Macaca mulatta: one gene and its partners. The protein of the gene in region 1 purifies or fractionates together with the protein of each later gene. This does not show direct contact. Links are inferred from orthologs where the notes say so. Each region holds a gene or a part of one and is shown in the gene's direction. Other genes may lie near its edges.

Region 1 (3,940 bases):
AAGCAGAAGGGGCAGAGGAAGGAGCTCAATGACCCGATCCCAAATCCCTCTGTCCAGCCCAGGGCTGGAACAGAGGTCCCTAGGTACCTGGGCAATGTCTTTAGTTCTACCACTGTACTTCTGTAGCTTCTGCGTATCTGAGGCTGACTGATTTCTACAGAGATATTCTTTTCTTTTTTTTAGACAGGGTCTTGCTCTGTTACCCAGGCTGGAGTGCAGTGGCATGATCTCGGCTCATTGCAACCTCTGCCTCCGGAGTTCAAGCAATTTTCGTGCCTCAGCCGCCCGAGGAGCTGGGACTACAGGCGTGCACCACCACGCCCGCCTAATTTTTGTATTTTTAGGAGAGACGGGGTTTCATCATGTTGGCCAGGCTGGTCTCGAACTCCCGACCTCAAGTGATCCGCGCGCCTCGGCCTCCCAAAGTGCTGGGATTACAGGCGTGAGCCACCTGCAGAGAGATTCTCTACGTGGGTTCTAGTCGTGGCTCTGGCATTTACTTGTTGTGGGACCTCTCTGAACTGCAAACTCCTAGTGAGTTGAGTTAGATTTTGTGGCGGGGTCATCACCAACAGCCCTAGCGCAAGGAAGCAGGAGGTCCCCAACCAATCCCACAGCCACCCTACCCCAACGTGGGGAATCTGAACGCCAAGAAGGGGCTGGGCTGGCCAGTAACCGAACTCAAGTGTCCAGTTCTCAGCCCTCCCCAGGCATTTACTAACCCTTCTGTCCCCTTACTCAGCCTCCTGGACCTTCACCCCAGCAGCCCCGTCCTTGGTCCCCTTGTTTTCTTTGGAGATCCCCTGATAAGTCAACATGAGAGCAGCCCCGCGCAGACCACTCCCGCAGCTGTGGTTGCCCAGCAACTGCGCTAACAGCCTGGCCACGTGATCTGCCGGAAGGCCCCCCCCCCCATTTCAGGGTAGTCCCGAGGCGCCTGATCAGATTCGTTCATCCTCAGGTCTCACCCTCTTTGGAGCAGCCCACGTCTTGGGCTACTCGTCTTGGGGACCGGCTACTCCGCCTTGCCAGTTCCTGTCTCCGCGAGGGCATACCTCGGAACTGGTCCTCAGGCGGAGGGTTGTCCTCCCGGGCAGAAAGGCGACAGCGGCGTCTGCGGGGTCCTTCCTGGCGGCGGGCGCAGACGTTTCTTTGGCGTGGGGCGGAAGCGCGTTCTCCGGCGGCGGCCTCAGAACTCTTAGCTGAGCAGGCGGGAGGTAAGTTGAAGCGGGTTAGCGGCAAGGAATGGTTGCTCCAGGTGGGATAGGAAATTAAAGAGCGTCAGATCTGGAAGAGGCCTTATATGCTATCTGCCCCTTTTGCTTTACGGATGGGTAAATTGAGGCCTGGAGCGGAAAAAATAATGGAAGATCCTCTCCTCCGCGTGCCTCCCCAAAGCTTTCGAAGCGCGCACGCACGCACACACCTCGATTTCGGGGCTGCCTCTATAGCCTCAGTCCGTAAAATCGTATCCCTAGGAAGGAGTGTTGCTCTAACTGTCCAGTCCCGTCGCTCATTCCCTTTTCCATCTGTGCCGCCTTCAGCCGTTCTCTGCCAAGTTCCCTCCGACGTTCCCTTTGAGCGCCTGCATTGTAGCGGGAAGCAGCAGTGAGGTTTGTTACCATGAGTCGCTAGTTTTGTGTAACTGTGGGCAAATCAGCTATATTCTCTGTACCATGTTAGAGTCACTCATTAGTTCGATAAATACTTATTGAGGGCTTAGTCTACGCTAGGCACTGTTCTAAGTAAACAAAACAAGCCCTTGCTTAAACTGTAGTTGGGGAAATGAACGGTAAACAACTAGATAGAAGTCAGCTAATGATAAATGTATAACATTTGTGAATAACAATAAAACAGTGAAAGTGGGAAGTTGGAGAGTATGTATGGGGGACTTTTTAGAGTGACAGAGAAGGTGACATTTTAGTGGAGACTTGATTGAAATAAAGGGACAAGGTGAAAATATCAAAGGGAAGAGCGTTTTGGACAAAGAGAATGGCAAGTGCAGTGGCCCTGAGGCAGAACTGAACTTGGCTTGTTCCATGAACAGCTTTATATAAAATTTTTTTCAATCGGCCGGGCGCGGTGGCTCACGCCTGTAATCCTAGCACTTTGGGAGGCAGACTCGGGCGGATCACCCGAGGTCAGGAGTTCGAGACCAGCCTGGCCAAAATGGTGAAACCCCCCCTCTACTAAAAATACAAAAAAATTAGCCGGGCGTAGTGGTGCACGCCTGTAGTCCCAGCTACTCGGGAGTCTGAGGCAGGAGAATCTCTTGAACCCAGGAGGCGGAGGTTGCAGTGAACCAAGATCGTCCCGTTGTACTCCAGCCTGGGCAACAAGAGCAAAACTCTGTCTCAAAAAATATATATAAAATAAATAGATAAATAATTTCTTCAAGCACTTGACTGGGGTCTTGGGAGAATGAGATAAGCATAAATGCGATAATAGCTTTTTGGAAGTAAAAAGAATCTGTATGCATGTGAAAGTTTCCATAATAATTTACATTTAGTTATTGGTCCTTGGAGCTCCGATTCTCTCTCTACATTCAGCACCCAGCAGATGGCATTGAGGGAGGTGGAGGTACCAGTCTAATCCAAGAAATATCAGCATCTTAAAATTAAACATCCCATTCAGTTAACATTTATCCAGTTTCTACTTATGCAAGGTGCTGTCTTGGCTGTTGACTGTGTTAGCATTGGTACTTTTTTCTCAACTATTTAAAAATGTAAAATGCAGCTGGGTGCGGTGGCTCACAGCTGTAATCTCAGCACTTTGGGAGGCCGAGGCGGGCGAATCACCTGAGGTCAGGAATTCGAAACTAGCCTGGCCAATGTGGTGAAACCCCATCTCTACTAAAAATACAAAAATTAGCCAACTGAGGTGGTGGGTGCCTGTAATCCCAGCTACTTGGGAGGTTGAGGCAGGAGAATCGCTTGAACCTGTGAGGTGGAGGTTGCAGTGAGTCAAGATGGTGCCACTGCACTCCAGCCTGGGCAACAGAATGGGACTCTGTCTCAAAAAAATAAAAAAGTAAAATGCATTCTTAGCTGGAGGACCATGCAAAAACAGGTGGAGGGGCCAGATTTGGCCACAGGTCAGAGTCTGTGAATTCTTGCCCTAAAGTATTAGGAGCTGAAGAGGCATTGTGTCAGCAGCTTACTGTCAAATATTTGGGGAAAAGAAAGTTATTTGTACTGTTCTTGCCACTTTTTGGTATTATTTTAAAATTAAATTTAGTATCATAAAAGAAGTGAAGGGAAGAAGCAGATGCATGGAACACAGGGTTCTCATGATCAAGGATGGCAAAAAATAATGCTAGCTGTTTATTGAGCCTGGAACTCTGGTAAATTCTTTACACAGGGTGTTTTTTGTAATCCTCATAAACATTTATTCAGTGAGGATTATTCATTCCATTTTCCAGTTGAGGAATAAGAATCAGGTTTGGAGAGATGAAGCAACTTACCTGAAGTTACATAGTTGTTAGTGGCAAAGTTAGAATTTGAATCTAAGTCTTCCAACTCCAGAGCCCTGATGCTCTAGTCTGTTATTTATTGCTTATAAACTATAGTTGGTGATGGTAATTAGTACAGTTAACTACTATTTGTTTATTTATTTATTTATTTATTTTGAGACAGAGTTTTGCTCCGTCGCCCAGGCTAAAGCGCAGTGGTGCAATCTCAGCTCACTGCAACCTCTGCCTCCTGGATTCAGGTGATTCTCCTGCCTCAGCCTCCTGAGTAGCTGGGACTACAGGTGCGTGCCACCACACCTGGCTAATTTTTTGTATTTTTAGTAGAGATGGGGTTTCACTGTGTTAGCCAGGATGGTGTCGATCTCCTGACCTCGTGATCTGCCCACCTTGCCCTCCCAAAGTGCTGGAATTACAGGTGTGAGCCACTGCACCCAGCCAGTTAACTACTATTTAAGACAAAATTAAACA
Region 2 (3,500 bases), about 66 Mb from region 1:
CAGGTGCCCGCTACCTGTAATCTAGCTTTTTTTTTTTTTTTTAAATTTTTATTTATCTATTTTTTTTTTTTGAGACTGTCTTGCTCTGTTGCCCCGGGGGAATGCAATGGCACGATCTCGGCTCACCACAATCTCTGCCTCCCGGTTCAAGCGATTCTCCTGCTTCAGCCTCCCGAGTAGCTGGGACTACAGGCGCGCACCACCATGCTTGGCTAATTTTTGAATTTTTAGTAGAGATGGGGTTTCACTATGTTAGCCAGGCTGGTCTTGAACTCTTGACCTCAGGTGATCCACCCTCCTTGGTCTCCCAAAGTGCTGGGATTACCAGCGTGAGCCACTGTACGCAGCCTCACTGGACTTACTTTCTCACATCTTTTTTCATTTATACATGTAGACAGGGCTCTTTCCAGGGACCTATTTGGAGACCAGCTATGAGTGTATCCTTACTGCCCCTTTAAATTCACATGGGCAGTCTTAGTTCCTGGTTTTTGCCTTAAGGTTTCTCATTTACCCTTTTGTTTTAGATGTTGTTTAGATGTTGAGGACCCAGAGTTGTTTTTTTCTTTTTACTCCTCTACTGCCATCCATATATTCGTCTGTATGTATATATGTATATATATATTTTTTTTTTTTTTTTTTTTTTTTTTTTTCTGAGACGGAGTCTGGCTCTGTCACCCAGGCTGGAGTGCAGTGGCGCGATCTCGGCTCACTGCAAGCTCCGCCTCCCGGGTTTACTCCATTCTCCTGCCTCAGCCTCCCGAGTAGCTGGGACTACAGGCGCCCGCCACCTCACCCGCCTAGTTTTTTGTATTTTTTAGTAGAGACGGGGTTTCACCGTGTTAGCCAGGATGGTCTCGATCTCCTGACCTCGTGATCCGCCCGTCTCGGCCTCCCAAAGTGCTGGGATTACAGGCTTGAGCCACCGCGCCCGGCCTGTATGTATATTATACATATATGCCCCACCTCTGCCCAGGTTTCTGTTGCTGTTTAAATGCATTGCTAACTTGTGTTCTTAACTTCTGCTTGGGATTATAGGGCCCTGTAGGGAAGGGTCCTGGCTGTGGCTTTTGGGCTGCTGGTTGGCGAGTCTGGCTGTTTTTCATGCGTGGCATTACCCCTTTGTTGGAGCGATGGCTGGGCAACCTCCTGGCCCGGCAATTTGAAGGTGAGTGGTTTTCTCTGTGTCCAACTTCTCCTGTTACTGCTTCAAAGCTACCTCTTGTTGTCTGAGTCTATTCCCTGCTCTTGTATGAGCACCCCTTCCTACTGGATTGCCTTCAGGTTCAGTTCTCAAAATGAGTCTGACCTAGTTTTCTATTTCTTGGGCTTCCTTCTGGGGCCTTGAGAGGCAATCATGCACTTGCAGGAGTGGACATTCTTCAGAAGCGTAGTTGTGAATGTTTAAGGTAGCTCATCTTTTTGCATATGCTGGGCACATGGACGCTTTGTTAATACCTAATTTTATTGTGACCATAATAAGTGAGGGACATGAAGGTAGAGATCCTTATTGAAAGCAAGGAATCATGCTTGTAATCCCCTTGGGATACTCTACTTCTAGGTCGACACTCAAAGGGGGTGGCAAAGACAGTAACAAAACAGCGAGTGGAGTCACATTTCGACCTGGAGCTGCGGGCAGCTGTGATGCATGATATTCTGGACATGATGCCTGAGGGGATCAAACAGAACAAGGCCCGCACAATCCTCCAGCACCTCAGTGAAGCCTGGCGCTGCTGGAAAGCCAACATTCCCTGGAAGGTGGGCGTCTCTGCATTTCCTTGGAGGGTGAACATCGTCTTTAGGTCAGGATCACCACTCTGGGACTCATGAAGGGCCTATCTGGCTCCCACCTCTTTTCTTTTCTCTTTTAGAGAGGTGCTTGCTGTGTTGCTTAGGCTGGCCTCAAGCTCAAGCTCCTGAGCTCGAGCAGTCCTCCTCAGCCTCCTGAGTAGCCGGGACTACAGGTGTGCACCGCAGCACCTGCTTTATCCCGGCTTGATTGTGCTTTTTGGACTTTTAGGTCCCTGGACTGCCAACGCCCATAGAGAATATGATCCTTCGATATGTGAAGGCCAAGGCTGACTGGTGGACCAACACTGCCCACTACAACCGAGAACGGATCCGCCGAGGGGCCACTGTGGACAAGACTGTGTGTAAAAAGAACCTGGGCCGCCTCACCCGGCTGTATCTGAAGGCAGAACAGGAGCGGCAGCACAACTACCTGAAGGTTGGGCAGAGTAGGCTGGGCTGGCTGTGAGCGGTCGGGGAGTGGGCATGAGGGAGGACTGCAGAGTTGTGACTGAACCTTGTTCTCGAGGGAGTGGGCTATAGCGGGAGGCTAATTTCATGTCCACCTTGCAGGACGGGCCTTACATCACGGCGGAGGAAGCAGTGGCAGTATATACCACCACAGTGCATTGGTTGGAAAGCCGCAGGTTCTCACCCATCCCATTCCCCCCACTCTCCTATAAGCATGACACCAAGTTGCTCATCTTGGCATTGGAGCGGCTCAAGGAAGCTTATAGGTGAGTATTAGGGTAGATAGGTTCCTGCTGGGAAGGTGACAGCAGGGAATAGCATCACCCTCAGAGTCCAAAGAAAGAAGGTGTAGCCCCAGCCTCTTCTGGTTTTACTTCCTCCTGGTTTTCCCATTCACCGTTCCCATTGCCTTATCAGTGTGAAGTCTCGGTTGAACCAGTCACAGAGGGAGGAGCTAGGTCTGATTGAGCAGGCCTACGATAACCCCCACGAGGCGCTGTCCCGCATCAAGCGTCACCTCCTCACACAGAGAGCCTTCAAAGAGGTGAGTGAGAGCCTCCCAAGTTTTCTTTTTGGTTCTGCCTTTCATTCTTGGTAGAACCAAAGGTAGCAGGTTGCCTCAGGTGATTGGTGTGAACCAGCCTCCTTGTACCACAGGTGGGCATTGAGTTCATGGATCTCTATAGCCACCTGGTTCCAGTATACGACGTAGAGCCACTGGAGAAGATAACTGATGCCTACCTGGACCAATACCTGTGGTATGAAGCCGACAAGCGCCGCCTGTTCCCACCCTGGATTAAGCCTGCTGACACAGAACCACCTCCACTGCTTGTTTACAAGTGGTGCCAAGGTAGAACTTTCCTGAGATTGCCCTGTGAGGAATGGGGGATGAATTTAGTTCTATGTCAAAATTCTCATCTGGGCAGCATGATTGGTTTACTCTCCTGATGCATGGTAGTAAAAGGAAGTAGTGTTCCTGTTAAACTGAGGAAAGCCCATAGTCAAAGCAATCCGGATGACTACGTGGAATGGTAGTGGGATTGGTTGTGGAAGGTGATGATAATTACTGTGGGGCTAGTCCTGAAAGAGGATTTCTAACCTGCTGGAGACCTGCCTTGCTACTCCTCAGGCATCAATAACCTGCAGGACGTGTGGGAGACAAGTGAAGGCGAGTGCAATGTCATGCTGGAGTCCCGCTTTGAGAAGATGTATGAGAAGATCGACTTGACCCTGCTCAATAGGCT
Region 3 (3,500 bases), on another chromosome or scaffold:
CTCCAGCAGTGGGCTCACGCCTGGGATTCTCTGGGTGTTAATGGCAGGAGGGCAGGAGTGTTCTGTGAGCCCGTTACAGGATTTCAGAAAGCCTGACAAAGCTCTTTCTTTCCCCCTGCTTAGCAAAAGCCACAGTGTTTTAGCTTTGAGCTGGTACTGTTGTCTGCTTCTCATGCAGATGGATACTTATGCCTTGACTAGTAAAATGTAGGAAAGGATGTTATCACTTTACAGCATTTGTAGGAAATATGTGATTAAAAGAAACAAGACACCACTGTTTCTTGTGATGGTCTTGCAGTTTGGTTTCCTCTTCATCCTAAAAAAGACCTCTTCACTATTAGGGAATAGTTTGTTTTCTGACTTGAAATTTGATCCGTGGGTGTTTTGTTCCTTGGAGCTTTGGTCAAGAGATTACTGAAGACTTATTTTGGAGCAACAGGTCCCCTCGGTTGGTGAAGTGGCCATCCGCAAACTGAACTCCTGGGAGCCCTTGACCTGAGAAGAGTGTTGGGCTGGGAGTCAGAAGTCAGGAACTGTGTTGCTCCATCACTGACCAGCTTGGTTAATTTGTCACTTTGGGTCTCTGGGTTTTCTGTGGTTTAGGGTTCTGATTTTGAGTTTTCTCCTACCTGGCAAGGCAGTTTTGAGGACCAGACAGGAAACATTTGCTGCCTTTAGCTATTCAGCATTTAGTGAGCACCTCTGTGTCTCAGGGCCTGGTAACTAACAGGTGATCACTAAATGCTGAACAAATGACCAAACACCAGCCTCTTCCTCTTGCTGACTGCACTCTTAGGAGCCCATAGGAGGATGCAGGTGAGTGGTGAACCTGTTATGGAGTCAGCCATTCCACAGGGAGGGGCCCATAGACTGAGTAGCTCTAGGTTAAGTAAGGACTAGGCTGATGCAAGCCTGTGGTCAAATCTAGTGAGAGGAGGCACAGCAGTATAATCATGGTATATTTATACTTACTCTTTATACTTACTCTTGTAGTCCGTGTGTCCCCAAAGGCACAGAAACATTGGGAGGAAGTCATGAGTCTGGTTAGGGTCAAATGCCCCCTAGAGGGCATTTGACTTGAACTTTAATGACTGGGAACTTCCTAGGAAGGAGAATGGCATTCCTGGCAGATGGAATAGACTCAAAAGCATCGAGTCATAAAAGAGCTTGCGGGTGTCCAGGGCAGGGCTGGTAGTCTCATGTGGCTAATCAAGGAACAAGGGATTGGAAAAAGATAGGGCTGGAGAAGGAGGCTGGGCAGGCCCCACGGAGCTTATACTTACCATGAAAGGATTTTGTTTGATTCTTACAGGTCAAGGGAACCTCTAAAAATTCCTCTGTGTTTAGAAGCTCCTCAGGCTTTGAGGAGGGGTCTCCTTACCTCAGGATCCCATGTTGAGTTGATGAGTGGGATGCAGGGGGATGAGGCTTCTGTAGTCACCTTACAAAGCAGCACTGACTCTAAGTCTTCTCTTATGCAGGGGGGACAAGATATCCTGTCCATGATGGGCCAGCTAATGAAGCCAAAGAAGACAGAAATCACAGGTAGGAGAACCAGCGTGGCCTGCGAGCAAGGGGCAGGGTGGAGGGCCCTACATTCTGAGATGCCCTTGCGGCTCTGTGAGCACATCCACCCTGAGAAAATGCCTCAGAACAGTTCCTTCTTCCTCATAGTTCAGAGCTTGACTCTAGCCTTAGTCTCTGGCATTATTTAGGCAGCCATACAGCAAGCACACTGTGTGGTCTCTGCCCCACTGCAGTCACAGTTTCTGGTCCCTATGAGGCCCCAGAAATGTGGATTTATTTCGCCCAGCTCTGCCCGAGCACAGACTCTGGAGCCTTGGTGCTGTCAGCCCCTCCCTAGTAGAGCACAGGGCAGCTTCACAGACCAGCTCCACGCACTGCCCTGCCCAGTTCGTGGGCTCTTCCTAGAGCTCCACAGGGGACACTGCTGCTGCTCTCCTGTGAACCTTTATTTTACCCTGCGGCTCTTCCCAGCTTTCCTGTTGCTGTTTTTTTCTAATTCTACCTACAATTTCGTCACTTTAAGATGTTAGTTAAACATTAAAGCAAATATTATCTTTAAAGTTTTAGCCAGGGCAGCAATCTGAGACCTTTCTGTTTGAGTTGTCAGGAGCAGTTTCTTTCTTTTCACATGATTTTCAGTGTGCATCCTCTTCGGACAATCCCGGCCTTGTGCCTTTGGTGGAAGACGCTGCCTCAGATCTTCCAGTTTTCTGTTTGTGAGCTGCTCCCTCCTGACAATAACACAGGAGCTGGTTTGGAAAATGAGCACTGAGACCTTAGCTGGGTTATGTAACTTTTGAGAGACTCATCCCTCTAGGAGCTCTGAGATTGGGCCTTTCTTCAGAGCCTTTCATTCCTCGAAGGTTTCTGCTCGGGATTCTAAAAGCACCCACTTCCTTATTCCAGGCACTTGATTGAAAGTTAATTAACCTAAGCATTGTTGTATGGGACCAAAAGAAAGGGTCATTTACTGAGTATAGAATAGGAAAATTTGCATGTGAAAACTCATTTCACTCAGGGCTCCTAAACTCCAGTGTCTCCCAGATCAGACAGAGCTACACTGGGTGTGTGGGAGGTGATAAGGCATGGTAGGGAGTGTGACAGCAGTGAGCATGTGCTGTGAAGGGATTCCCATGCAGAACACCCGTGCTACCTTTTTACATTTAACCAAACACATCTTTTGGGGGAGGCTACCAATTTTGTGACCTTTAGGTGTGATTATCACTGTGTTCAGATGATGACACTGAAGCCTGGAGTGGGGGGACACACCCTGTCAGGGATCACATAGCTAGTAGGAAAACTAGGCTCCCAGCATGGGTTTGGATTGAATTCAGGTGGAGGAGAAAAGGCGATAGTCTCTCCCAGCCCTGTGCTGACCTTGCCTGCCGATCCTTGCATCTCCTAGACAAACTTCGAGGGGAGATTAATAAGGTGGTGAACAAGTACATCGACCAGGGCATTGCTGAGCTGGTCCCGGGTGTGCTGTTTGTTGATGAGGTCCACATGCTGGACATTGAGTGCTTCACCTACCTGCACCGCGCTCTGGAGTCTTCTATCGCCCCCATCGTCATCTTTGCATCCAACCGAGGCAACTGTGTCATCAGGTAGGATGGCTGCCTGCCAGCCACAAGGCTTTTTTACCTTCCAGCTGGGCTCGTTTGTTCCTCAGGATCTCGCTAAACCCCACGAGGTGGAATGGGGATGAGGGGAGGTCACGTTGTTTTTGAAGGAAAACGTGCCAAGTGGCTTGCCTCTGGTCTCATTTCCCTAGTCACCAAAGGCAGCAGCTGCCCTTTCACTCATGATGAGGGTCTCCCATGTGATCTCTGGGGTGTGATACTACAATCTGGTCATTCAATTGGCGTGCACAAAGGTGAGATCAGACAGGGCTAGCCTTTGGTGACATTATACACATGAACGTCTTCAGGCTTCACCTGCACTCTGAGAGGTAGGCATTATTGACATCATTTTTC
Region 4 (4,015 bases), on another chromosome or scaffold:
TGAGTCTTGCCCAAGTTCCCCTTCTTTCACTAAATTCATTGAATCTATTATATTTACCTACTATGTGCTATTCAGTAGGAGACATTGCAGCTACAGCTGCGAACAGGACTGAGAGAGTCTCTACTTTCATGGAGTTTATATGCTATTAGGGAGGAAGATGTATGTGTGTGTGGCAGGAAATGAGGTGCAGACACATACCATACAAATGTGAAATGGGGGGTGGCATGAAGAAAACAAACCAGTGATCTGAGTGACCAAGGGCTACTTTAGATTAGGTCTAATGTTGCCTCTGAGGAGGTAACATCTGGGGTGAGCCCTGAACTACAAGGAGCATTACTTCCCACACACATAGCCCAACCAAACCCCACCATCACCCCGCCAACCCACATTAAGATCTGGAAGGAATATTTCAGACAGAAGAAACAGCTATTACAAGGCCTTAAAGAAAGGAGGGATCTCAGTGACCTGGAGGAGCAGACAGGTCAGAGCACAGTAACTAAGGGCAAGTGGTACAAGATGAGGTCAGGTAGGTAATAGCCAGATTAATGCACTGGAGGGCTTCCTATGTACAGAATTGGATTTTATTCTAAATATAGGAAGCCAGGAGTTATTTTAAAAATAAATAGGAATCACAAGAGGTATTTTAAAAATAAAAAATAAAAAACTCTAGTTACTCTGTGGGAAACGAATTGGAAATGACCAAACTGGGAGCTTGTGGCAGAACGGAAACATAATCTATTGTCCTGACTTAGAGGAAGGGACAAATATTTACTTAGCAAGCCTTTACGTGCCAAGCTGTTCTAAACGCTGAGGATGAACAAACCAGAGATCCTGCCTTCACGGTGTTCACAGACTAGCGGGCAGAAGACAGACACAGCACGTGTGGCGGTGTAGAGGGCTTGGTTGCAAGAGCCGATAAGGAGGACCCTGGCGACTGCCTAGTCCAAAAGCCCTAGCTAGAGCAAGATCAACTTGTACTGCCCTTAGTACAGCCACGTGAGTGGGGTGACCATCGACCTTAACCAAAAAGATGTCAAGGCTTTCCTCCTCCTCACTCCCGCGTCCCCCGTCTCAGGGAGAGTCTCCCAGCTAGACCCCAGCAGCCTCAGCACACACGGCACGGGGCGACAGCTTCCGGGGGCGGGGCCCGGTCTCTCTCGGCGTCCACCGCGCCTGCTCCCCGGACGAAACCCGCGGACAGGGCTTTAGGTTCGCCGGAATCCCACGCTCCCGACTTCTGCTTCCGGGTCGGAGCCATGGCGGTGGCAAATTCAAGTCCTGTTAACCCCGTGGTGTTCTTTGATGTCAGCATTGGCGGTCAGGTGAGATCCAGGACGCTACCCACACCTGCGCCGAAGGGAAACTGCTCGGGGCTAGCTAGGCAGGCAGAACTCACCCAGAGAGAGCGGACTCGGGAAGCCAGCCAGAAAGCGAAATTGCACCCGAACCTACCGACCTGCAGGGCGGGGAGAAATGAGGAGAAGTCTCCCCAATCCTAGCGCCCCGCTTCTGGAGGAACTGGGCGGTTAGACCAGAGAGGCGGAGGTGGGTGATACCGAGCGGCAGGGTGGTGGGTCAGCCCATCCTGCCCCCAGCTCCGTGAAGCCCTCATGGTCTTGGACTGGGCCTTCTGACAGTCTCCCGCTGATTGCAGGAAGTTGGCCGCATGAAGATCGAGCTCTTTGCAGACGTTGTGCCTAAGACGGCCGAGAACTTTAGGTAAGGACGTGCTCCAGTTCCGCTGGATTAGCTGAGGCAGAAGTCGGGCTCTAGTCAGCCGCCTGAATAGCCTGTCTACCTCTGTCCGTCCGCTCACTGCTCTTGAGACCTGATTCCTCCGTGCATTGCTCTGTCTGGTTGCCGTTTGGATTGTTCCCGTGTTAATTTACGTTGTTAGTCTGTACGTCTCCGTGTTTGGACGTCTGGCTGGCCGATTGGTGGACTTGCTGGCTCCATTGTTTATTCTTTCCCGTCTTTAGAGGCGGTCACGACTGTGATGTCATAGTGATTGAATTGTTCACTTTTTGTCCCTTTCAGGCAGTTCTGCACCGGAGAATTCAGGTCAGTTTCAGATGTGTTTGACTTCTTTGCCTGCTCCAGAAGGGTGTTCTGGGGCTGCGGTGAGGGTATCGGTGAACCAGCTGCTGGCCTTGAATGATTGCTGGTGACAGTGATAGAAGGTAATGCCCCAAGGGTCTGTCCCTAGTTTATTTGCCTTCTTTATGTCTGTCAACCATCTTTAGGAGAGTCCTTTTGGCTCCAGTGCATGGTAAACTGGAAAGGCCTTGTGCTACCTGCTATCACTCCAAGTCTCTTTCTTTTTGTTATAGAAAAGATGGGGTTCCAATAGGATACAAAGGAAGCACCTTCCACAGGTAAGGCTTTTGGCAAGCCATCCTAGAGTCTTTCAGAAATATTTCCTGGGGGATTAGGCTCTTTAGAGGAAAATAAAACCAGAGGTAATTCTTACATTTCTTAAGAAGAAATGTTTTTGTGGACTCAATAACTGAAGATTTATTAAATATTCTAACTCTACTTATACTCTCCCACTTCTTATGTCTTTAAAACAGAAACTACTCATCTTTACAATATCCTGTCTTTTTCATGCACTTGTTTGTGCAAATGCAGATTTTTAAAGAAGTACACTTGTAATCCTAAAGTGCATATAATATATCCTGCTGGTTGCTATTTATAACTAATTCCTAAAATGATCATATATGATTGTCCAAGGATAATCATATTTCCTGGGGAGTGGAGTATGGCAACACTTAGTCTCATTTCAATATAGAATCTTTCTCATGGCCTCACTGTGGTTAGTAACAATGTTAGCACATAATTATATCACAGCTTTAGAACTGTGGGTCTCTAATCCCCAGTAAGACTCCTGTGAAGTGGTATGTGTGATCTGCATTCTACAGAGGAGGAAACTGAGGATAACAAAGGTTAAGGACCCTCCCTAGGGGTAATAGCTAACAATTGTTAAGCCCTTACATGTGTAGCAGTACCTTTCACATAAATTCTCTGTAGTTCTTTGCCCCAAATTTACATCAAATCCTTGATCTGCCTTTTGCTTTGGCAAGTAATGTGGTCATTCTTCCTGCAGGCTTTCAGCCCCTTCTTCTTGTTACTGTTCAGGTACCAGATCATGCACTTGATCAACTCTAACATGCCCTAATTTATAACTAAAATCCTTTTTTATGGTTAATTATCCTTTCAGCTTAATCATTCCAGGAAAAGAATAATCTTCTTTTTTTGTTGTTTTGGTTTTTGGTTTTTGGTTTTTTTTTGAGACAGAGTCCCGCTCTGTCACCCAGGCTAGAGTGCAGTGGCATGATCTTGGCTCACTGCAACCTCCGCCTTCTGGGTTCAAGCAATTCTTTTGCCTCAGCCTCCCAAGTAGCCGGGAATACAGGCATGTGCCACCACGACTGGCTAATTTTTGTATTTTTAGTAGAGATGGGGTTTTGCCATGTTGGCCAGGCTGGTCTCAAACTCCTGGCCTCATGTGATCTGCCTGCCTCGGCCTCCCAAACTGCTGGGATTACAGGCGTGAGTCACCGCACCCAGCTAAGAATGGTGATTTTATAATAGCCAAAGTTATAGTGTATTTTGAAATCAATGTTAATCTAATACAATAATAACAAAGTCTCCATAAAATCTTCTCTCAGTATTCTTTGCTCTCTGTTTCAGGGTCATAAAGGATTTCATGATTCAGGGTGGAGATTTTGTTAATGTAAGTACTATTCCTTTTCTATCAAAGACCTGTAGTTTTAGTTTTTATTATCGTTGCAATTGCTGTTTTTACTACAGAGACCCAGTCTTAAGGCTTGAGAACAATAGCCAGGTTTGATGGGGGTGTTGGAGAGAATGGTGATGGGGAAGTTCTTGGAAGTGGCTAGGTACAACTGACTGTAGATAACAGACTTTAGCACTTTGATTGAGGCATTAACTTCCATGGTCCAAATCTCAGCCTTTTTGAGCCAGAAATTGGACTTTTTAAGAATACCCTGTAGAT
Region 5 (3,500 bases), on another chromosome or scaffold:
CTCCCCGGTGGCTAGGAGGTGGGCGTCAGCAGCTTCTCTTTTAGGTGTGTGTCGGATTCCCCTTACCCATTGAGCAAGGTTTTCCTGTTTGTCCCTGGGATGAGAGTGAATGACAGTGTCTTGTGTCTGACTCTTCCAGGTAAAGAAGGCATATAGGCAGAAGGCCCTCTCCTGCCACCCAGACAAAAATCCAGATAATCCAAGAGCAGGTGAGACTCTTCTGAGGGCATGGGGAGAAAGAGCCGCTCACCCAGGCCTGTGTTTCCTGATGTACGCTCTGCACGTGAGTGCTGTGGGGTGTACTTACACACAGCCTGGCTCCGGGCCGTGGGTCCCAGGGCTTCCCTTCATGTTAGGGGTGTCTGGTCAGTTGCTGAGGTGCTCACCCCTCCTAATTGGTCTGTCATCTGCTGATGTCGGCTTTTCTGCCATCCTGTGGCTTTTTTTAAGTGTTTTTTGTTTGTTTGTTTTTTTGAGGGAGCACACCATCACAAAGTCTTTATTTTTCTTCTCTCTCTTTTTGATCCTTATGTTTAGCTGAACTCTTCCACCAGCTTTCTCAGGCCTTGGAGGTGCTGACTGATGCTGCAGCAAGGGTAAGCATAGCCTCCTTCATCGGAATCGTCCCCCTTGATTAGAGACTACTGCTGCCCCTCAACCTCAGTCCTCTGCCCTTTGCCATGTGGCACAGTCCTTGCTGTCTCAGCCCAGGAGACCCAGTCACCAGGCTGCCACTCTGATGGCCCTTGGGCTAGGGGCCAGGCAGATTGCTGGGGCTCTGTCTTTACTCTCCGGCTGACCCTCTGCCCTGTGCCCCTTTCTCCTGCCAGGCTGCATATGACAAGGTCAGGAAAGCCAAGAAGCAGGCAGCAGAGAGGACCCAGAAACTAGATGAAAAAAGGAAGAAAGTGAAGCTTGGTAGGTGCCATCATAGTGCTCGGTGGCCTGTGGTTTCCTGCGGCCATTTTCATTCATCTCCCTCACCTGAAGCTTCACTTCCAGCAACTCATCTCAAAGCCTTTTGGCTCAGGCTCTGGGCAAAATGCTGCTCTTAGAGGTTGGTTCCTAAAGACACTCTTAGGAATAATAATGAGGTTTAATATTAGCTAAGCATGTGACAAATGCCTTATTGTCCCTTTAATTGTCATAACTGTACAAGGAAGTGTGGGTACTAAACCTTTTTTAAAAACATGGTTTTTTGGGGCCGGGCGCAGTGGCTCACGCCTGTAATCCCAGCACTTTGGGAGGCCAAGGCGGGTGGATCACAAGGTCAGGAGATGGAGACCAATCTGGCTATCACGGTGAAACCCCGGCTCTACTAAAAAAATACAAAAAAATTAGCTGGGCGCCGTGGCGGGCACCTGTAGTCCCAGCTACTCGGGAGGCTGAGGCAGGAGAATGGCGTGAACCCGGGAGGCGGAGCTTGCAGTGAGCCGAGATCGCGCCACTGCCCTCCAGCCTGGGCGACAGAGCGAGACTCTGTCTCAAAAAAAAAAAAAAAAAACACGGTTTTTTGAGACAGGGTCTTACCCTGTCACCTAGGCTGGAGAGCAGTGGCACGATCTCAGCTCACTGCAACCCCCACCCCCTGGGTTCAAGTGATTCTGGTTCCTCAGCCTCCCGAGTAGTGGGACTACAGATGTGTACCACCATGCCCAGCTAATTTTGTTCAATTTTTGTGGAGATGGAGTTTCACAATGTTGGCCAGGCTGGTCTTAAACTCTTGGCCTCAAGCTATCCACCTCAGCCTCCCAAAGTGCTGGGATTACAACTGTGCACTGCCGCACCTGGCCTCTGAAGCCATTTTTTATAGGCAAAGGAGCTAAGGCACCAAAAGTTTAAGAGCTTGCTGGAGCTGGGATTTAAACTTATCCAGGGTGAGTAAAATTGGTGCTTGTGGCCGGGTGCGGTGGCTCACACCTGTAACCGCAGCACTTTGGGAGGCTGAGGTGGATCACGAGAGGTGGATCACGAGGTCAGGAGTTCAAGACCAGCCTGGCCAAGATGGTAAAACTCCTTCTCTACTAAAAAAACAAAATTTAGCCGGGTGTGGTGGCGGGCGCCTGTAATCCCAGCTACTCGAGAAGCTGAGGCAGAGAATTGCTTTGTACCCGGGAGGCAGAGGTTGCAATGAGCCGAGATCACGCTGCTGCACTGTAGCCTGAGCAACAGAGCAAGACTCCATCTCAAAAAACAAACAAACAAACAAAAAACTGGTGCTTGTATTCACCATTTCTGGCTGAATCTTTTTTTTTTTTATTTTTTAATAGAGAAACGGGGTTTTGTACTGTCACCCAGGCTAGGGTGGCACCATCATGGCTCACTGCAGCCTCAAACTCCTGGGCTCAAGCAGTTCTTCTGCCTCAGCCTCCTGAGTACCTGGGACTACAGGTGCAAGCCACTGTGCCTGGCTGGGTCTTTTAATTTGTTCTAAACCCAATTCCTACCCAGAGTTTTCACTTTGAGAAGCTCCCTCAGAAGGATTCAAAGAGGTCCAGGCTTTCTCTTCTCTAATAGCTTTATTGAGGTATTCTTTGTATATCATAACATCAACCCATTTCAAGTCTACACTTCAATGATTTTTCGTAAATTTACCAAATGATGCAACTCTGACTATAAATCAGATTTGGAACATTTTCATCAACCCAATAAGATTGGTACAAGCATTTTTTTTTTTTTTCTCACTTAAAAAAACATCACTGGTTATAGCAGCATGGTCCAAGCACTTTTTTTTTTTTTAATTTTTGAGACAGAGTCTCCCTCTGTGGCCCAGGCTGGAGTGCAGTGGCACAATCTCGGCTCACTGCAAGCTCCGCCTCCCAGGTTCACACCATTCTCCTGCCTCAGTCTCCCGAGTAGCTGGGACTACAGACGCCCGCCACCACGCCTGGCTAATTTTTTGTATTTTTAGTAGAGATGGGGTTTCACCATGTTAACCAGGATGGTCTCGATCTGCTGACCTCGTGATCCGCCCGCCTTGGCCTCCCAAAGTGCTGGGATTACAGGCGTGAACCACAGCACCCAGCCTTTTTTTTTTTTTTTTGAAATGGAGTTTCGCTCTTGTTGCCCAGGCTGGAGTGCAGTGGCACAATCTCGGCTCACTTCAACCTCTGCCTCCTGAGTTCAAGCGATTCTCCTACCTTAGCCTCCCGAGTAGCTGGGACTAAATTGCGTTCCACCACACCCAGCTAATTTTTGTATTTTTAGTAGAGACAGGGTTTTGCCACATTGGCTAGGCCGGTCTTGAACTCCTGACCTCAGGTGATCCACCCCCCTCGGCCTTCCAAAGTGCTATGATTACAGGTGTGAGCCACTGTGCCTGGCCCAGTCCAAGCATTCTTTACTTAAGTTTTCTCCTTTTCCTCTTGCTCTTCAACATCTGTATATTTTAATGTGTGCATATAGCATCCCAATATCCATTTCTCTATTAAAAAAAAAAGCAAGTGCTGGGAGACTCCATCTCAAAAAAAAAAAAAGAGAGAGAGAAAAGGAGATTCTAA
Region 6 (3,500 bases), on another chromosome or scaffold:
CATCCTGGCTAACATGGTGAAACCCTGTCTCTACTATAAAATAGAAAAATTAGCCGGGTGTGATGGCGGGTGCTTGTAGTCCCAGCTACTCGGGAGGCTGAGTCAGGAGAATGGTGTGAACCTGGGAGGCGGAGCTTGCAGTGAGCCGAGATTGTGCCACTGCACTCCAACCTGGGTGACAGAGCCAGACTCCGTCTTAAAAAAAAAAGAATACTCGTATATCTTTGCTATCGGCTGTCATGTGATGGCAGGTAGGGGGTTATGAGATTAGGCCAAACAGAAAACCTCAACTCTAGTTGCGCATAGGAAAGTTTGTCTCTGCAGGACTGCCCAGTGTCTGCTGTTGCAAAGAGAAATGTTAATCTGATGTCCCACTCCCTGTTCACTCCCTGTTAATTCTTGCTCATTTGTTCTAGGTACTTTCTACTCTTGAAACAACATATACTATATTTGCCTAGGTGATTTTTTAAAATCTCATTATTCTCAATTTGGATAATGTGGACAGAGGCAGCAGTAAAGTTTACTTCCTGAACTAGCTCTGAAAAGCAAATTTAATAAATGAATAGAATAGGGGTAATGTTTCTAAGAGAGAATCAGTATGGAATTCCAAACTTGTATTCATGCGCCTGGGGACAGTGTGCCACGGAGTCTAAGAAACCACATAAGAGTTCATTTTTTTCCATGATAAGTCATTTTAAAACATTTTGATATTATTAAATACATATTTTATAATAAAGAAATATTTTTTATTCTGTGTTTTTTTGTTTTTTCAAAATTCATTAATTGAGATTGGCTACTTCGAAAAACCTTTGACTGAAAAAATGGTGCTTGGGTATATTCGCAAAGAAACCCAAGGACTTACTAGTGTAGTTTAGTTGTTTTTCTTTCATCTCCCTGTTTTCTTTTGACTAGGAAATGACTAATGAAGAGAAGAATATTATCACCAACCTAAGCAAATGTGATTTTACCCAGATGAGCCAGTATTTCAAAGCCCAGTCGGAAGCTCGGAAACAGATGAGCAAGGAAGAGAAACTGGTACTACAGAATTTATTAAACCTCTGGAGAATTTTGGAATCGTGATTGGTTCATTTAATTTTCTTCTTGGTTCTTACGACACAACACTTAACATCAGTAATTTCACATCATTCTGTGCTAAAGACTTAGAATTCTCAAAGTCTAAATTTTCTTAAAGGTTTTAGTTAGACTGAAAATTGTGAATAAGTACTTTGCTCAGTAGCTCTCTATAGGAACCCTGGTGCTTCAGTGACCTAAAAACCAGTCAGTAACTCCAGCCAATAATATAGTAATTAAGGATGGACAGAACTGTCCCACAGTGGCTACTGGATATTAAGGATTTAAGACAGATGAAATCATATTGGCCATATACCTTCCTGTTCTTTTATCTGTTTTACTGTGGAATCTTGCAGTGCTCATCCATCTCCATCTTCCAGCCTTGGCCATCCTCATTACTGAAGAATTTTTCTGGTATCCAGCTGGGATGTCATTTTTCTTCTACAGGCTGCCTGTTTTTGTAAAAAAAGAAAAAAAAAAAGAAAACAAAAGTTTATTGGAACCAGCTGCCCCTACTTTTCTACATATTATCTATGGCTGTGTTTATGCAACAATGACAGAGATGAGTAGTTGCAAAAGAGAGTAGTTGCAAAAGAGACTGTGTGGCACTCAAGCCTAAAATATTTTCTATCTAGAAAAAGTTGTCAGCCCCTAACTAAAGGAATCCAGGCTAGAATTTCATTTTTTCCAATCGGAAGTCTAGAAGTTAAGGATTTTAAGGAATTTTTTGCACTTCAAATTCCTGTAGTTTCAGTATTTTGAAGGACTTGCATGTTTATATAATTCAGGCCATTGTATTTATATAACTCATTGTTTCATGGTACTTATTTGGCCACTAGTTTAAAAATTAATGTGTTACTATAAGAATGTTAATTGCATCAGACTTTCTGTCTCAGGTAAATCTTATCCTCAATATTCCAAGTTAGTGAAATTTAGTATATTATTTACATCGGGGCATTTTGAAACTTAAAAGATCACTTTGGAGCTTTGTTCTTAGAATACTGATCCAAAGATAGATTTTATAAACATCCCCTTGTCAGAGTCCCTGCAAGGACACCTGCTGCCAGCAAGGTCTGTTCCCACCCACAAGGCAGCAGGGCTTAGTTAAATTGAATCAATAAGTATATAAAAAGAGTCAATAGAGGGTAAGGAGGCTCAAAATCTTGCCCACCATACCCCACCTTTTTGGAGCAAGGATCATAGTATAGAGCATTTAACCTGTATACCTACAAAAAAATTAGTGACAGATCTGTCTGGACTTTAAAACCCATGTTTTTAGCTGTTTAACTGCTGTTTTAATTAAATGGCTCGAGCTATTCTTTTATGAGGCTCTATCAGAGACCCCTCTCCATTTCCTGTTTTGATAGTACTCAATAAAATAGTACGAATTTTTAAAGTACATTTAAAAACACCCAAACAACATTTATAAACATATATCCTTTAAGACACAGGAATCAGTTTTGAATCTAGTTGAAATCAATCCTTATAGGCAGATCTTTTTGGGGAATTTTATGATATTTAAGTTTGAGAAAACCACTAGAGGTTTTCCTTTATTTGAATTCATTTTTTAGTCATTTTCAGACTTTTCTCTATCTTGACCTAGTCTCCCACAAGAGATAAAAATGTATTAGTAGAGAACAGCATCGGAATCTATTTTGAGTACTTTCTTGGCTGTCTTCCAGAAAATCAAAGAGGAGAATGAAAAATTACTGAAAGAATATGGCTTCTGTATTATGGATAACCACAAAGAGAGGATTGCTAACTTCAAGATAGAGCCTCCCGGGCTTTTCCGTGGCCGGGGCAACCACCCTAAGATGGGCATGCTGAAGAGACGAATCATGCCTGAGGATATAATCATCAACTGTAGCAAGTGAGCTCGCACTTCATCCTGTGGGCCAAAAAGGGGGTGGAGGGTGTCCTTTATTGTACTTGGGAATATTTCCCAGGTTACACAGGACTGTTTGGGAAAGGAGATACTTAAGAGCAGGACAGTATTTCATGCATAGGTCTCCAGATGTTTTTGAGGTACAATAGTCTCCCCTCATCCACAGGGGATATGTTCCAAGACCCCCAGTGGATACCTGAAACTTCGACCCAACTGCTGTCACTTGGAACACATTTCTGTTGATGTCTTCCACCCCCAAATTTAAAGCCTTTTCCATCTTTATTAAGTACTTACCACATACAGTGGCTATAACTTTTGCAGTCTGAGGTGCAACAGCAAAACTAGCATGACTTTCTTTTTCCTTCTTCACAGTTTCACAGATGGAAGATTCGTTTTTACCTTAGATCTCAGCAACTTCAGCATACAGTTTTTTTTATTAAGTCGATAATTTTCACCTTTTCATTTAAAGCACTCTACACCTTCTCTTTGGCATATCCAAATTGCCAACATCAATACTTTCGCACTTTGGGGCCTTTATTAAGTA
Region 7 (3,500 bases), on another chromosome or scaffold:
GTATGAGTCTGAGCGAGCACTCGGGGACGGCGTGGCTCCCTCGCGTATGAGTCTGAGCGAGCACTCGGGGACGGCGTGGCCGCTTGGCTGCCCGTAAGGCCCCAGCCCTTTCCATCTTGTTGGTCGGCCACCTGCCTCGTGGTGCGAGGGGACTGCCCCACGTCCAGCCGTCGCCTCTGCATTCCCACCAGCAAGGCACTTCTTTTTTTTAAGAACATGTCACTGCAGCTCACATTTTACAGACCAGAACTAATTCCCCTGGTCACACCTAGCGGTAAGGGCGGCTGAAAAATGGAGCCTGTATGCTGGTGCCCGTATGCCAGGCTACAAGCCAGGGCTTCAGTTACTAAAGGAAGAAGGGGACGTGGGTGTTAGGGCCAACCAGCAGAGTCTGCCTCCCGTCTCACCTGACACCCGCCTGTCCCGTTTACCCTAGACATCATCCATAAGTTCATCCGGGATAAGTACTCGAAGAGATTCCCTGAACTGGAGTCCTTGGTCCCCAATGCACTGGATTACATCCGCACGGTCAAGGTGAGAGCAGAGGAGGAGCGGTGCTTCTGCTGGTGTGAAGGTGCAGGCAGGGCTCACTCTTGGACCCGCCCCCAGAGGCCTCGGGGTCTGGAGGTGAAGGAGAGGAGTGGACGGAGGCTCAGTGGCCTGCTCTGCCCAGGGTGAGAGGGACGGAGCCTGGATGGGACTTTCTCAGGGCTCCCCTCGTACCCCAGTCTCCCGAGAGGGCTTCCCCGCTGGCCTGACCCGCGCTGCTTCCGCTGTGGTCGGAGCCGGTGGCATTGGAGTTGACATCCGAAGGTCGTCACAGGGCAGGCACGCGGAGATTTGGGGGAGAGAGATGTGTTAAGTATGGAGAGCCGGAGAGGGAACAAGCGGGGAGGAAGTGAGGCGGGGAAGGAGGGGACGCGGAAGAGGTCGGATCACACTGAGCCTTTGGGTCTTATGAGAAAGCCAAGGAAGGGTTTCGGAAAAGAGGGGCGGATGCAGGTGAGGGCAGGGAGAGGAGGCGGTCCCCACGTGTGTCCGGGAAAGGATCAGGATGGTGGTGGGGGAAGCCCCCGCAGGGAAGCGAGGCCGCGGGTTTGTGCTCCGACTCGACACAGGCAGAGGCTTGTGAGGCCGCGGTCTTCCCAGACGCTGCTCTGCCCAGGTTCCGTTTCCAAAGCAGAGCAGACGGTGTGGATGCTTCAGGCGGTGGAGGCAGGAGAGGCCCCCAGTGTAGAGACCCTGACTTTCCCAGTGTCCCCGAGAAGAGACCCGAGTAGGTGCAGGGCCAGAGAGGCTCTCAAGCCTTCCTGAGTTCCTGAGCCTCCCCTGTCTTCTCTGCTCGCGCCCAGGAGCTGGGCAACAGCCTGGACAAGTGCAAGAACAATGAGAACCTGCAGCAGATCCTCACCAACGCCACCATCATGGTCGTCAGCGTCACCGCCTCCACCACCCAGGGGTATGTCCGCTGGAGGGAGGCGCCGGGCCCGGGCCAGTGGGACTGGGGATTAGGCTGAAGCTACCCACGCAGGTGGGCATACACACACACGCACACACACACACACACACACACGTGCACACACACACAACTGAGAGGGTGGGTGCTGGGCACCAAGCAGGCGGGAGACCCAGGAGGCTGGGCCCACCCGCCCCTGCAGGCAGCAGCTGTCGGAGGAGGAGCTGGAGCGGCTGGAGGAGGCCTGTGACATGGCGCTGGAGCTGAACGCCTCCAAGCACCGCATCTACGAGTACGTGGAGTCCCGGATGTCCTTCATCGCGCCCAACCTCTCCATCATTATTGGGGCGTCCACGGCCGCCAAGATCATGGGTGAGGCCCTGGGCTGGGTCCCATGGAGCGGGACTCTGCTGACACTGTGATCTGGGGGAAGCTGCTTCCCTTTTCTGTAGAATGGGGACTTTGGCACCTGGGCCTCAACACCCCGTCTCCCTGGACGTGACAGAGGTCAGCCAGCCTGGCACACAGCAAAGCCTCGTCTGGGAGAAACACTCACCCACAGCTCCTCCTCCCTCCCCTGTGCCGGAAAGCCAGAGATGACCACACCCAGGCCCTGTTGTCAGGGGGCTCCTGGTTTGGTGAAAATGGTTCCAAAACACAGACATCCCTGGAATGGGGGTAGTGTGGCTTAGCACAAACGTGGTGGTCAGTTGCCTGTTGGGGGCCTCCTCCCTGCACCCCAGGCCAGCTGCCCTCCCTCTCTGAGCCTCCTTTGCGTCTGCCCCTCGCGGAATGGGCCAGGTCGCCCGCCTGGCAGGGCCACCGAGGAATCCAGCCAGAACCTCACGTAAAGGTGCTTGGCACATGTCGAGCCCCCAGGCAGATGTGCGCACCCCCGCCTCCCCCGCTTTCTTCTGACCGCCCCTGTCCTCCTCCCACCGCAGGCGTGGCCGGCGGCCTGACCAACCTCTCCAAGATGCCCGCCTGCAACATCATGCTGCTCGGGGCCCAGCGCAAGACGCTGTCGGGCTTCTCGTCTACCTCAGTGCTGCCCCACACCGGCTACATCTACCACAGTGACATTGTGCAGTCCCTGCCCCCGGTGAGCCCACCGCGTCACAGCCCCTCCCCCGGCTCCCCTGGAGCCTTCCGCCTGCCCAGACGGCCTGAGCAGCCACCCCCACCATCTGGCCCAGCTGACAGTAGCACTCAGGAGCCGGGGACAGGGTAGCATGGGATGTGAGAGCCAGGGTTCTGCAGCACACCTGTCGGGTGACTGTGGGCAAGAGGCGTGAGTGCCCTGTGCCTCAGTCTCCTCCCCTCGAAAATGGGAGCACAGCGCCTGCTTCACGAGTTGGGGCGAGGGCTCCATGTAGACGAGGCCCTCACAAGGCAGGCCTAGCTCACGACAAGCAGCGTCGGGTTAGCAGCTGCTCCGAAGGCCACCGTCACTGGAAAGACACGGAACCCCTGAGGGCTGCTGTGCTGGGGACTGTATAACAGATTAACATTAGCCACAGGGAGAGACACACAGGAGGAGCAGGAGAGGTCACCAACCTCGGAGGGCGATGTGTCCTCTCCCCGCAGTCAGGACACATCACCCTCCCGGCATCGATGCCTGACAGCACACACAGGGCCGCCAGCCTCACACCCGTAATCCCAGCACTTTGCGAGGCCGAGGCGGGAGCATCACTTGAGGCCAGAAGTTGAAGACTAACCTGGGCAACATAGTGAGACCCCGACTCTTTTTTTTGTCTTGATTCCAATGGGATTGGAAACACCCTGTCTCTACAAGAATAAAAAACCCGGTGTGGCAGCGCTTGCCTGTCATCCCAGCTACTTGGGAGGCTGAGATGGGAGGATACTTTGCGCCCGGGAGGCGGAGGTTGCAGCGAGCCAAGATTGCACCACTGCACTTAAGCCTGGGCCAGGGACGCTTGCCTGGGCCGTGGTGTTCAGTCTTTATTGTGGCTCTGCTGTGTAGACACGACTGTGTTGCCGTGTGGCTGGTCTGTCTCCAGGTCAGGTGATGCCCCATAACTCA

The links.
Region 2: the proteins of EFTUD2 (region 1) and PRPF8 purify together in Homo sapiens (affinity purification with mass spectrometry; 9 studies listed by BioGRID and IntAct, with this or other methods). This does not show direct contact. The link is inferred for Macaca mulatta from reciprocal best matches to the Homo sapiens genes EFTUD2 and PRPF8.
Region 3: the proteins of EFTUD2 (region 1) and RUVBL1 purify together in Homo sapiens (affinity purification with mass spectrometry; 4 studies listed by BioGRID and IntAct, with this or other methods). This does not show direct contact. The link is inferred for Macaca mulatta from reciprocal best matches to the Homo sapiens genes EFTUD2 and RUVBL1.
Region 4: the proteins of EFTUD2 (region 1) and PPIH purify together in Homo sapiens (affinity purification with mass spectrometry; 3 studies listed by BioGRID and IntAct, with this or other methods). This does not show direct contact. The link is inferred for Macaca mulatta from reciprocal best matches to the Homo sapiens genes EFTUD2 and PPIH.
Region 5: the proteins of EFTUD2 (region 1) and DNAJC17 purify together in Homo sapiens (affinity purification with mass spectrometry; 4 studies listed by BioGRID and IntAct, with this or other methods). This does not show direct contact. The link is inferred for Macaca mulatta from reciprocal best matches to the Homo sapiens genes EFTUD2 and DNAJC17.
Region 6: the proteins of EFTUD2 (region 1) and TOP1 purify together in Homo sapiens (affinity purification with mass spectrometry; 3 studies listed by BioGRID and IntAct, with this or other methods). This does not show direct contact. The link is inferred for Macaca mulatta from reciprocal best matches to the Homo sapiens genes EFTUD2 and TOP1.
Region 7: the proteins of EFTUD2 (region 1) and PRPF31 purify together in Homo sapiens (affinity purification with mass spectrometry; 4 studies listed by BioGRID and IntAct, with this or other methods). This does not show direct contact. The link is inferred for Macaca mulatta from reciprocal best matches to the Homo sapiens genes EFTUD2 and PRPF31.

Annotation. Positions count from the first base shown.
Region 1 is NC_133421.1:69,270,413-69,274,352, reverse strand, and holds the start of EFTUD2 (116 kDa U5 small nuclear ribonucleoprotein component), read left to right. Parts: upstream 1-1,140; 5' UTR 1,141-2,072; intron 2,073-3,631; exon of another isoform or gene 3,632-3,753; intron 3,754-3,940. UniProt on the Homo sapiens protein: Required for pre-mRNA splicing as component of the spliceosome, including pre-catalytic, catalytic and post-catalytic spliceosomal complexes. Component of the U5 snRNP and the U4/U6-U5 tri-snRNP complex, a building block of the spliceosome.
Region 2 is NC_133421.1:3,233,291-3,236,790, reverse strand, and holds part of PRPF8 (pre-mRNA-processing-splicing factor 8), read left to right. Parts: intron 1-1,035; coding exon 1,036-1,165; intron 1,166-1,558; coding exon 1,559-1,755; intron 1,756-2,017; coding exon 2,018-2,224; intron 2,225-2,358; coding exon 2,359-2,522; intron 2,523-2,673; coding exon 2,674-2,800; intron 2,801-2,913; coding exon 2,914-3,106; intron 3,107-3,385; coding exon 3,386-3,500. UniProt on the Homo sapiens protein: Plays a role in pre-mRNA splicing as core component of precatalytic, catalytic and postcatalytic spliceosomal complexes, both of the predominant U2-type spliceosome and the minor U12-type spliceosome.
Region 3 is NC_133407.1:155,874,757-155,878,256, forward strand, and holds part of RUVBL1 (ruvB-like 1), read left to right. Parts: intron 1-1,481; coding exon 1,482-1,545; intron 1,546-2,932; coding exon 2,933-3,131; intron 3,132-3,500. UniProt on the Homo sapiens protein: Possesses single-stranded DNA-stimulated ATPase and ATP-dependent DNA helicase (3' to 5') activity; hexamerization is thought to be critical for ATP hydrolysis and adjacent subunits in the ring-like structure contribute to the ATPase activity.
Region 4 is NC_133406.1:198,100,205-198,104,219, reverse strand, and holds the start of PPIH (peptidyl-prolyl cis-trans isomerase H), read left to right. Parts: upstream 1-1,215; 5' UTR 1,216-1,256; coding exon 1,257-1,322; intron 1,323-1,654; coding exon 1,655-1,719; intron 1,720-2,037; coding exon 2,038-2,061; exon of another isoform or gene 2,062-2,154; coding exon of another isoform or gene 2,155-2,180; intron 2,181-2,330; coding exon 2,331-2,375; intron 2,376-3,690; coding exon 3,691-3,733; intron 3,734-4,015. UniProt on the Homo sapiens protein: PPIase that catalyzes the cis-trans isomerization of proline imidic peptide bonds in oligopeptides and may therefore assist protein folding. Participates in pre-mRNA splicing.
Region 5 is NC_133412.1:18,126,749-18,130,248, reverse strand, and holds part of DNAJC17 (dnaJ homolog subfamily C member 17), read left to right. Parts: intron 1-139; coding exon 140-209; intron 210-537; coding exon 538-596; intron 597-830; coding exon 831-918; intron 919-3,500. UniProt on the Homo sapiens protein: May negatively affect PAX8-induced thyroglobulin/TG transcription.
Region 6 is NC_133415.1:93,964,259-93,967,758, forward strand, and holds part of TOP1 (DNA topoisomerase 1), read left to right. Parts: intron 1-912; coding exon 913-1,035; intron 1,036-2,753; coding exon 2,754-2,941; intron 2,942-3,500. UniProt on the Homo sapiens protein: Releases the supercoiling and torsional tension of DNA introduced during the DNA replication and transcription by transiently cleaving and rejoining one strand of the DNA duplex.
Region 7 is NC_133424.1:66,351,068-66,354,567, forward strand, and holds part of PRPF31 (U4/U6 small nuclear ribonucleoprotein Prp31), read left to right. Parts: intron 1-431; exon of another isoform or gene 432-436; coding exon 437-534; exon of another isoform or gene 535-621; intron 622-723; exon of another isoform or gene 724-1,352; coding exon 1,353-1,459; exon of another isoform or gene 1,460-1,658; coding exon 1,659-1,828; exon of another isoform or gene 1,829-2,123; intron 2,124-2,400; coding exon 2,401-2,558; intron 2,559-2,721; exon of another isoform or gene 2,722-3,174; intron 3,175-3,500. UniProt on the Homo sapiens protein: Involved in pre-mRNA splicing as component of the spliceosome. Required for the assembly of the U4/U5/U6 tri-snRNP complex, one of the building blocks of the spliceosome.